2 linked regions of the Coturnix japonica genome follow. The protein of the gene in region 1 purifies or fractionates together with the protein of each later gene. This does not show direct contact. Links are inferred from orthologs where the notes say so. Each region holds a gene or a part of one and is shown in the gene's direction. Other genes may lie near its edges.

What was found. The genes of interacting proteins can lie anywhere in the genome.
Region 2: the proteins of SMNDC1 (region 1) and SF3A3 purify together in Homo sapiens (affinity purification with mass spectrometry; 3 studies listed by BioGRID and IntAct, with this or other methods). This does not show direct contact. The link is inferred for Coturnix japonica from reciprocal best matches to the Homo sapiens genes SMNDC1 and SF3A3.

Annotation. Positions count from the first base shown.
Region 1 is NC_029521.1:22,832,216-22,836,984, reverse strand, and holds the start of SMNDC1 (survival of motor neuron-related-splicing factor 30), read left to right. Parts: upstream 1-1,880; 5' UTR 1,881-2,000; intron 2,001-2,252; coding exon 2,253-2,372; intron 2,373-4,769. UniProt on the Homo sapiens protein: Involved in spliceosome assembly.
Region 2 is NC_029538.1:3,123,584-3,128,356, forward strand, and holds the start of SF3A3 (splicing factor 3A subunit 3), read left to right. Parts: upstream 1-1,662; 5' UTR 1,663-1,709; coding exon 1,710-1,805; intron 1,806-1,927; coding exon 1,928-1,975; intron 1,976-2,101; coding exon 2,102-2,154; intron 2,155-2,984; coding exon 2,985-3,090; intron 3,091-3,468; coding exon 3,469-3,541; intron 3,542-3,924; coding exon 3,925-4,016; intron 4,017-4,290; coding exon 4,291-4,373; intron 4,374-4,685; coding exon 4,686-4,773. UniProt on the Homo sapiens protein: Component of the 17S U2 SnRNP complex of the spliceosome, a large ribonucleoprotein complex that removes introns from transcribed pre-mRNAs.

The DNA of each region.
Region 1 (4,769 bases):
TGAAGGCATCTGATAATGTAATTAAAGACCGTAGCCTAACACACAAGCAGAAGTGGTCAAACTACAGACACGTAGGCGAGGTTCATGCTGGGATTTCAGGTGCTCGCTTCATACTAATTCTCACAACACAATGTGCAGCACAGACAGAGCTGTGGGAGCACTGCTGTCAGATGCCAGTGCAGAGCAGGGGGTGCTGGCACTCAGTGGAGCTGCTGTGATAGATGCCAGGCTTTTGCCTCCTCCCCCCACCCAACCCCTCCATTCATCACAGCAGCACTCCTTGTTCCGTGCTTCCCAGGTCTCTCCCCACACACAAACACAAAGCACCCCTACGCTGTTCCCATGTTAACCTCGAGTTCCTGCTTCCCAACCCTCCCACGCTGCTGGCTCACTGCTTCAGGCTCCTCTAATCCTCCCAGGCTCTTCTACCCACTGCTCTGGCCCTTGCTCTCTATTTCCAGCCTCCCATCATCTTCTCAGCTTTGCTGTCATCCAAGCCTCGTGTGAACAGAAGCAATCTCGGCCGCAGCCTACCCAGCACCCTGAGCTGCAGAACCAGCATCTCCAGGCCCCAGGCAATCAGCACCAACACACTCGCTGACACAGAGTGCCTCGCAGAGAGAAGCCATGCCTTGACGTGGCATATTCCTCCATGCTGGAGGCACACGTCGAGCTGAAAAACCACCTGACAATCTGCCAGTTGTGTATCCTGACGCAGACCCATTGAACAGACCAGCTGTGTGCCGGCAGGTTGGGATTTCCTATGGGAGACACCATTTTGTCAGGATTCACAAAGCTGCCAACAGTAGGTGAACAGAAAACTCAGAACCTCAGGCTCTTCTGGAGCAGGTGATGCCCCAATGAGCGCAGGCTTTCTGTCACTTCTCCCTAATACTGACCTTTTCTTCTTATCTCCACGATGCTCCGCCCTGTCTCTTCATCCTCATTCAATTCTGATTCACCTCTCCCCCTCACTTTGAGTCACTGGGCCTTTTCACTGATGGGGGATAATTACTGTAATCACTCACAGTACAGAACATGTCAGAACTCTCTGTTTCTCCGCTTAGCGCCATACCTCAGGTCGGGTACCGGGGTTACAGGGAGTTTAATTATGTTCAGAACCTAAATTCACTTCACAAACAAACTCCTGTAAGAACAGGTATTTCAAACAGCAAGAATTAGGCCAAGATTCAGGAGTTGTAATGGCAAAAACAAACAAACAAACCAAAAAGAGCCAAACTGTGTGAAACTCCGAGTCCATGATTTGGAATAGAGAGAGAATGGAAACTCCAACCTTGTAATTTAATGGAGCAACAACAGCAATGCCATGAAATATCACAGAACTGCATCTATGGGCAAACTGGATGGCTCTGCCTACAATAATAAACTGTTACACAAAATAAATAGAAAGCATGAGAGGTTAATTTGTTACAGAATCACACAATGACCCGGGTTGGAAGGGACCTCAAGGATCATGTAGTTCCAACCCCCTGCCTGGCAGGGCCACCAAACATACACCTTTACTAGATCAGGTTGCCCAGGGCCCCGTCCAACCTGGCCTTGAACACCTCCAAGGACGGGGCATCCACAACCTCCCTGTGCAGCCTGTTCCAGGGCCTAACCACTCTGCTAGTGAAGAACTTCCCCCTGACATCCAACCTAAATCTTCCCTCTTTTAACTTAAAACCATTTCCCCGTGTCCTGCTATTGTCAGCCCTTTCCAAGAGTTTACTCCCCTCCTGGGAGTAAAAAATAGAACTATAGGAAAATAGAATAAGTCTATTGTGCGCGCAGCAGCATCGCCCCCTACCGGCCATCACCGAGCCGTGCCGCTCAGCGCCGCTCTCTCATCTCGCGATGCCCGGTGCGCGTTGTCCGCCGGCTCCTCCCACTTCCCGTCCCGTAGCGCGGCCCGCAGCTCCGGCCATCAGGCGGTACCGGCCCCACGGCTCCAGCGCGGCGGCCCGGCCCGGCCCTCGGGCCCCACAGCGCCCGCCGAGGTGAGTAGCGGCCGCTCGGTCCCTCTATACCGCCCCGCTGCCTGTCGCTACCCGCCGGAAGGCAGCCCGCGCTCGGGCCTGGGCCTAGGCCTAGTGTTACGGCCCTGCCTCCCCGCACGGCCGGGCCTTGGGAAGGGGAGGGATCGGGCTCGTTACGCCGCAGGCTGCCGTTGTTGTGCAGCTCTCAGTGCAGGTGAAGGAGCTCCGTGCCCGCTGTTGTTGTTATTGTGCTGAGCTGTGTGTTCCCTGCAGATGTCGGAAGACCTGGCCAAGCAGTTGGCCAGCTACAAGGCCCAGCTGCAGCAGGTCGAGGCGGCCTTGTCTGGGAACGCTGACAACGAGGACTTGCTGAAGCTAAAGAAGGACTTGCAGGTGAGGCAGTGGGAGCGGCCTGAGGGTGTTTGGGGGTTTTTTCACCTTTCCTTGATGTCTGTGTGGCAGCTGTCTGTGGTAGAAGTGCCGCTCTGCAGCACAGAGACTCGAATCCCGGGAGTTAGGGATGTTACGGGGAAGTTCTTTACTAGGAGAGTGGTGAGGCCCTGGAACAGGCTGCCCAGGGAGGTTGTGGATGCCCCGTCCTTGGAGGTGTTCAAGGCCAGGTTGGACGGGGCCCTGGGCAACCTGATCTCGTAAAGGTGTACGTGCTGAAGCCTAATGGGTGGCTTAACAGTGCTTCATTCTGCCTGTTCCTGAGCTGTCAAATCCTTCATCTAGGATCCGTGTATTCATTACGTGCAACGATATAAACTTCAGTCTGTTTCTGCATCCCTTGTACATCTAATCCTCTGTTGTGCTAAGAATTATGTAAGAAAGGAAGACAGATGTGTCCTTCATTTGCTACCTGCAGTTTCTTTAAACGTTTGAGCGTAGCACCCTGTAAAAAGCTCAGACCAGTTCTGTGCTTCAGGTACTGTTCAGTGCCAGGAAGACCAGCGGCTAATTTTAAATTGATAATAGGGCTCTTAGATTCTTGTGTATAGAAAGTTACACTGGCATAGAAGAAAACAGCACTGTTCAAATCTCACGTGAGAGTGCAGGATGCTGCCTCCTTTCTGCTGTGGATTGCTTTGACACAGTCAGTGATCTTTAGAATTCCTTTTAAATGATAAAGGCTTGGTGCCCACAGGGCTCTTAGTAGATCATCTGAATGTCCTTTGCTGTACACTGTTAAAAGCATGTGTATATGTTTATATTTTTAAAATGCACAGCCAAACCCATATGGGATATTTCCGATACCAACCCGACCTCGGCTTTGAGATCATTGATGTGAAAGGACAACTTGCAAACTTTTTAATAAAAGCTTTCTGCACAGAATGGGGAAGATGTTTACACTGTCGTCCCCAAAAGGTTTGCTATTCATATGTTCCACCTTGCAAATGACGTAGACAATGTTTTGCAGACTTAACATGTCAACCTAACGATTGTAAACGTGGGTTCAGTGCGTTCTGTCCTGACTATGGAGCTTTTCTTTTGTTCAGACTTAATGTGAAGCTGAAAGATCCTCTTACATTTAACATAGAGATGCACTGCTGCATTTTGTATACTGAGCCTATTCCTGATGAACGGGATTAAAATAAATACGACAAGAAACTTTTACAAATGCTTTGCTCTTTGCCTTTTGTTCCACTGAAGGGCTTCTTTGGACACTGTCCATACAGCAAAGCAACGAACTCTGTGCTTTGTGCGAGGTAGAACTGATGGCAGCCATCACCTTCTGTAGTTGGAGATGGAATATAAAGTTCTGCCTGAGTTTTTTAGAGAGCAGCTGGTGAGGAAAAACCCTGACAGACTCTCACTGGAGTTCCCTGCAGGTCACACTCCCATGCCACACAGACACAGCAGCCCATCCTGCTGCTCAGCTCAGCTCCTGGACTAAGCTGCTGTGGTGTCTCTTGTGCAGAGATGTTCATTGAATAAGCTGCTCCCTTAAAGATTGCTACAGAACGATCTCAGGAAGATTTGTACCAAAAGTTTGCTATTCGTTGCTTGTTGTTTAAATGACTTCATCGGATTTGAAGAATTGCTGGTAGAATGGTTTTCAGCTACTCCCATTTGGAGTTCTGTAATAAACCACCGATGAACGTGATGAGAACATGTCAACACTTCTGTGTCACGCTGGTAGCACGCACAGCAGAAATGCTGGCACTCCATTTACATGTATTTGACATGCTGAGATGGCACCCATTTCAAAGCCTCTCAATTTTCAGACAACATACAGTTGTATGTTGATGGCTGGTTTGGTGTTTCTCACCTGGAAGGAAAAATTATGCAGATATTGTGTTTTCTGAAGAGCTCTCAAACTGGGTAACCTCAGAGTCTGTTCTAGTTCAGCTGTAATGTTACAGAAGTTAGAGATCAAAGTTAAATAGAAATAGTTTTCAGCATGTCACTGTGCTTATAGTCGCTACCCATTGTGATTACTGTTCAATTTAGAAACAAGCAAGTTCTTAAAACAGAGAACAGAGCTTCTGTTAGAAAGGTGCTGACAAATTAAGACAGTAACAACCGCTACAAACAAACAGGACATTCATTCTGGTTGTACAGGTTATTGGATGAAAGTGCACAGAAGGGTACATTGCATTAACCTGCTATCTGGGAACTGCTTACAGTCTTCTTTGTTCTTGAGGAATGAAGAATAGCTTCTTCACCACCATTCCCTCAGCAAGTCTTAAGTCCACAGTTGGACTAGTTCTAGTTGAAATCAGTGGTCTCAGTGTTGGGGAACAGGGATATAATATGGGGAGGAAGGTTTGAGGAGAGGGCTGGCTG
Region 2 (4,773 bases), on another chromosome or scaffold:
TTCTGCAGTGCTGTTTCCAGGGATTAACCACAAAAGGTTTCTGTCCAAAGGGCCCCTGGGTTCCTCTTTTGCTCAGCCTCAAGAGCCTCACGTTTTTAGCCAAAAAAGGAAATGACCCAGCTGCACGTAGAGCTGGAACATCTGGATTTTATCCCTGTCATGAATGGGTCATGGCTGCGAGCGGCCCCGGGCCTGATTTACGGGAGGGGGAGGGTGATGTCATGCACAAACCTCCCCTGGGTTCTCAGAGCATGGTCTGAAGCAGGCACGGAAATACTCCTCAGCACGCAGCCAGGCGAGCAGAGCCTTCACTGTGAGCCCAGCATTAACCACACACTGAGCTTGAAAAGCCACCCTACAGAGGGACACGGTGGCTCCTGCCACATGCTTTTGGGGCTCACTGTGGGCATCCCTCGCTGCCCTGTGGTTGAGGGCTCTCTCTTTCCAAACATTCTTTTCAGCTCCCTGCTGGAGGTCACCCATTTCCCAGCTGCAGGCATCTACATGCAGCGTCAGGTCATGGCTCCAGCACAGCCTCTTCTGAGCTCTTAAACCCAACATAAACCTGCCCCAGCAGCTCCTGCAGCCCTGCAGGGATGGGTCTGGAGACCAGGTGCAGCTGAAGGCTTGGACTTGGACCTGTGTGTGCTAACAAGCCCGGGTCCACTACTGTCCATACTGCCTGGGGTAGTGGGGAACCAGAGCTGAAGGTGAACTTTCTCCTTTGCCTCTGTTACGTGAGGTTAGGGATGTGGCTGAGCCCTTCAGGCATCCTGAATGCTCCTCCTGCTGTTATCCCTTCTTCCAGACCCTCAGCTAAGGTCCAAAAAGGTGGGGAGGCCGCAGAACTCACAGAGACAGCTTTATTCCTCAATATACTCAAGGATCATGTAGTTCCAACCCCCCTGCCTAGCAGGGCCACCAAACATACACATTTACTAGTTCAGGTTGCCCAGGAGACCCCATAGATCCCCATAGAGACCATAGAGACCCCATAGATCCCCATAGAGACCCCATAGATCCCCATAGAGACCCCATAGACCCCATAGATCCCCATAGAGACCCCATAGAGACCCCATAGATCAGGTTGCCCATGGCCCCGTCCAACCTGGCCTTGAACACCTCCAAGGACGGGGCATCCACAACCTCCCTGGGCAGCCTGTTCCAGGACCTAACCACTTTCCTAGTGAAGAACTTCCCCCTAACATCCAACCTAAATCTTCCCTCTTTTAACTTAAAACCATTTCCCCTAAGTCCTGACATCCTTCAGCCGTGATGTCCAAAGCCCATTAAGCACAACGTCTGTTCATCCCAGGAGCAACATCTGTAACCCCAAGGCAGGCAGGAAGGAGGCAGCACCGGACTGGACATGTTTTATTCTGCTTGGGCTGTGATTCATGGCTGTATAACGCTGCCCACAGCCACATTGAAGCTGGAGGCTTTCACCCCAGCCTGGGGGCACCTGCAGTGCTCTCAATCCTTACGACTTTATGGGTTTGAAGCGAGAGGTGTCAGAAAAGTTCCCACTTTTCTGGGATAACTGGGATAACTGGCTTGTGGCGGCCAGTGGATCTCACTGCTCTACACCTTCACATGGGCTAAAATCAACGCGGAACCACATTCAATCCGGATCAAGCGGCTCAGGGAAGGGGCCGGACCCTTCCGGTGTTACACAGCGAGCTTCTGGTTCCGGGCTGGAAGGGGAGAAGATGGAGACGATCCTTGAGCAGCAGCGGCGCTACCATGAGGAACGAGAGCGGCTGATGGACGTCATGGTGAAGGAGATGCTCACTAAGAAATCCACGGTGAGCCCGGGGATGGGAGTGGGGGGACACAGGGGGTGTGTGCCCGGGGAGAGGGGGGGGGGGTGTGGGGGGGGTAGGCCGGGCTCAGGCCTTCATTATTAACGCCGTTTATTTCTATGCAGCTCCGCGATCAGATCAACTCCGACCACAGGACTCGGGCTATGCAGGATGTGAGTGGGGTCGGGGTGTGAGTGGGGCTGGGGGTGGTTCGGGTAGCTGTGGAGGTGCAGGGCCCAGATTGGCCCCGGTTTGGTTGAGGTTCTTTGTGTCAACGTGAGGTTTGTGTTGTGTTTTAGAGGTACATGGAAGTGAGCAGCAACCTGAGGGACCTGTATGACGATAAGGATGGGTGAGTGTATAGCGGGCTGGAATGGACATGGGGCTGCCTTGGATCTGCTTTATACACCACAGACATGATGCTACAATGCAAAGCTGGGGGTCTGCCCTAAAGAGGAGGACCCAGATTTCACATGAAACATGCAACACAAACACTTCTCAAGCAGAAAGCACAGAGCAGTACTACAGCCCTGTCCCCCTTCCTATCCCCATATGGGGGTGGAGCTGATCCCCCACCACACTCCTACCTCCTCTCACCCAACCCCACCAGCTGTACCAGACCCTCTGGTATTGAATCATTGAGGGAGACGGTCTCTAACTGAGACTGCAGCGTTTGCAATAGAGATGTGACCCTGATCCTCAAAGCACAATCCTGGCTGCATGTGGAACATCAGTGGGTGTATGGGAGATTGGTAATCACAGCCTGAACCTCTGATTAATCAGCTGAGCCAAGTGTTGGGTCAGCTGTGGGAGCACAGGTGAGAGTAATTTAGCTGTTCCCCATAAAGGGGTGGAGCTTGACTTCACCTCCTCTAGACCTCATTGAAGGGCTGACCACCACTAATGCAGCATCTCTTGGTGATTGCTGCTTGGTAGTGATCACTTCAGTGGTTCCCAGCAGATCTAAGGCTTCCATATGGGTGAGCTTAACTTGTAAATAACCTTTTGGTTATTTACTACCATCTTTTCATTATTGTCCCCATATGGTGGGGCTGTGATTTCAGTCTCACTGGTGTTTTGTGGGAGCAGAATGCAGTGTTAGACTTCCAAACATTATACCAATATAAACCAACATAAACGTGTTTTCTATATGCAACCTGTCTTCTTTTTATGAACCTGTAGCTTACGGAAGGAGGAGCTCAGTGCCATTTCAGGGCCAAATGAATTTGCTGAATTCTATAACAGACTGAAACAAATAAAAGAGTTCCACCGCAAGCATCCCAATGAGGTAAGCAGCAGCTCCATAAGGATAACTGGTTTGTGGTGTGTTGGGCTTCATCTCTGCTGTATTAAAATGTCATTCAGGAAAACAAAGTGTCTAGAAATAGGTGATGCTTTGAGACTTTATATGAGCCTCTGTCTGAGTAGGAGAAAATGCAGGATGCTCACCATGTCCTCCACACTCTCTATTAGTTTAAGAGCATTCTGCTTCTGAGCTAGCATTCATTCTTGCCTGCCTAATGCTGTCTTTAGTGCAAATATAATCATGAAGAAGTGCTTGAAACACCTCTTCAGTTACTTGTTTTACTGTTTGCAGTCTGTATTAATTACTCCTGGGCATTAGCTGAACTAATCCCTTTTTCTATAACTTCTTCTGTTCCTGAAGATTTGTGTTCCAATGTCAGTGGAGTTTGAGGAACTGTTGAAGGCCAGAGACAACCCAAGTGAAGAAGCTCAAAGTAAGTCTTCAGGGTTTTGTTTGTTTCTTGTTTGAGGTTTGTTTAGTTGAGAACACATTGCTTGCCGTGATTTAGTGACCTGTCTGTTCTGCTTTGATTTCCACCTCCCTTTCCCTACATTAACCATAACAACTGTTTTAATTTCATTTAAATTCTTCTGGGCTGCAGCCACCCTGAAATATTCCACTGTTGAGATGGTTCTTTTGGGGGATGGTCTGATATAACACTAGGAAGCTGGTGGCCATCTAGTCGATGAGTATCCATTTGCATTATAAACATGCTTAAGAAAGATAAACTAGTCTGCAGTTCAGCTTCTAAAGCATGCATATAACAAGCAGAGGATGTTGAGTTTGTAACAAAGCCCTGCGTGCTCTTTCCTGCAGACCTGGTGGAGTTCACAGATGAAGAAGGGTATGGAAGATACTTAGATCTGCATGATTGCTATCTCAAATACATTAATCTGAAATCATCAGAGGTAAGTGGTTGCAGTAGTGTGGGCACTCTGTTGTATTGCACTTCAGTGCTGAGGGCTCAGTGGTCTGTTTTAAATGTCATTTATTTCCAAATAGCTGTTTTATGGTGCTTGTTTTGCATTGTGTTAGAAAGCACACTGTAAACCCCAGCCCTGTGCAGACCATGCAGAATAAAGGCATGAGCTTTGTGCTTTTCTTCTAGTCTGGTGACTGGAAATTGGTTGCTGATATGCTGTGTGTATCTAAAGTCTGAATCAAACTTCCTTTCATTCTTAGAAACTGGATTACATCACTTATCTGTCTACATTTGACCAACTCTTTGACATCCCCAAAGAGAGAAAAAACGCTGAATATAAGAGGTGAGTCTTTTTCCTGCCTGCTTCATTCATGAAAGTAGTTGATGAGAAGGAATTTGCTTCTCAAGTGTCCAGGAGCAGAGTTAGTAATCAAGCAGAGGTGACAGAGATTGGGTCACTGAGCTGTATTAACTCGGTCATAAATCCCTTGAGCCCTGAGAGGACGTGAAGCACAACAAAACGTGGGAAGCCGTTGGGCTTCTAATTTTGAGGCAGTACTTTAGTTTGCTGTATTGAAATCTGTTCTAATCTCGGTAACTTTGTTATATCAGTACTTTGATATGGAATTGTCTGTGCTGATAATTACTTTGCCAGGTATCTTGAAATGCTTCTGGAGTACCTACAGGAGTACACAGATCGTGTGAAACCATTACTGGACCAGAATGAGCTCTTTGGGAAAATT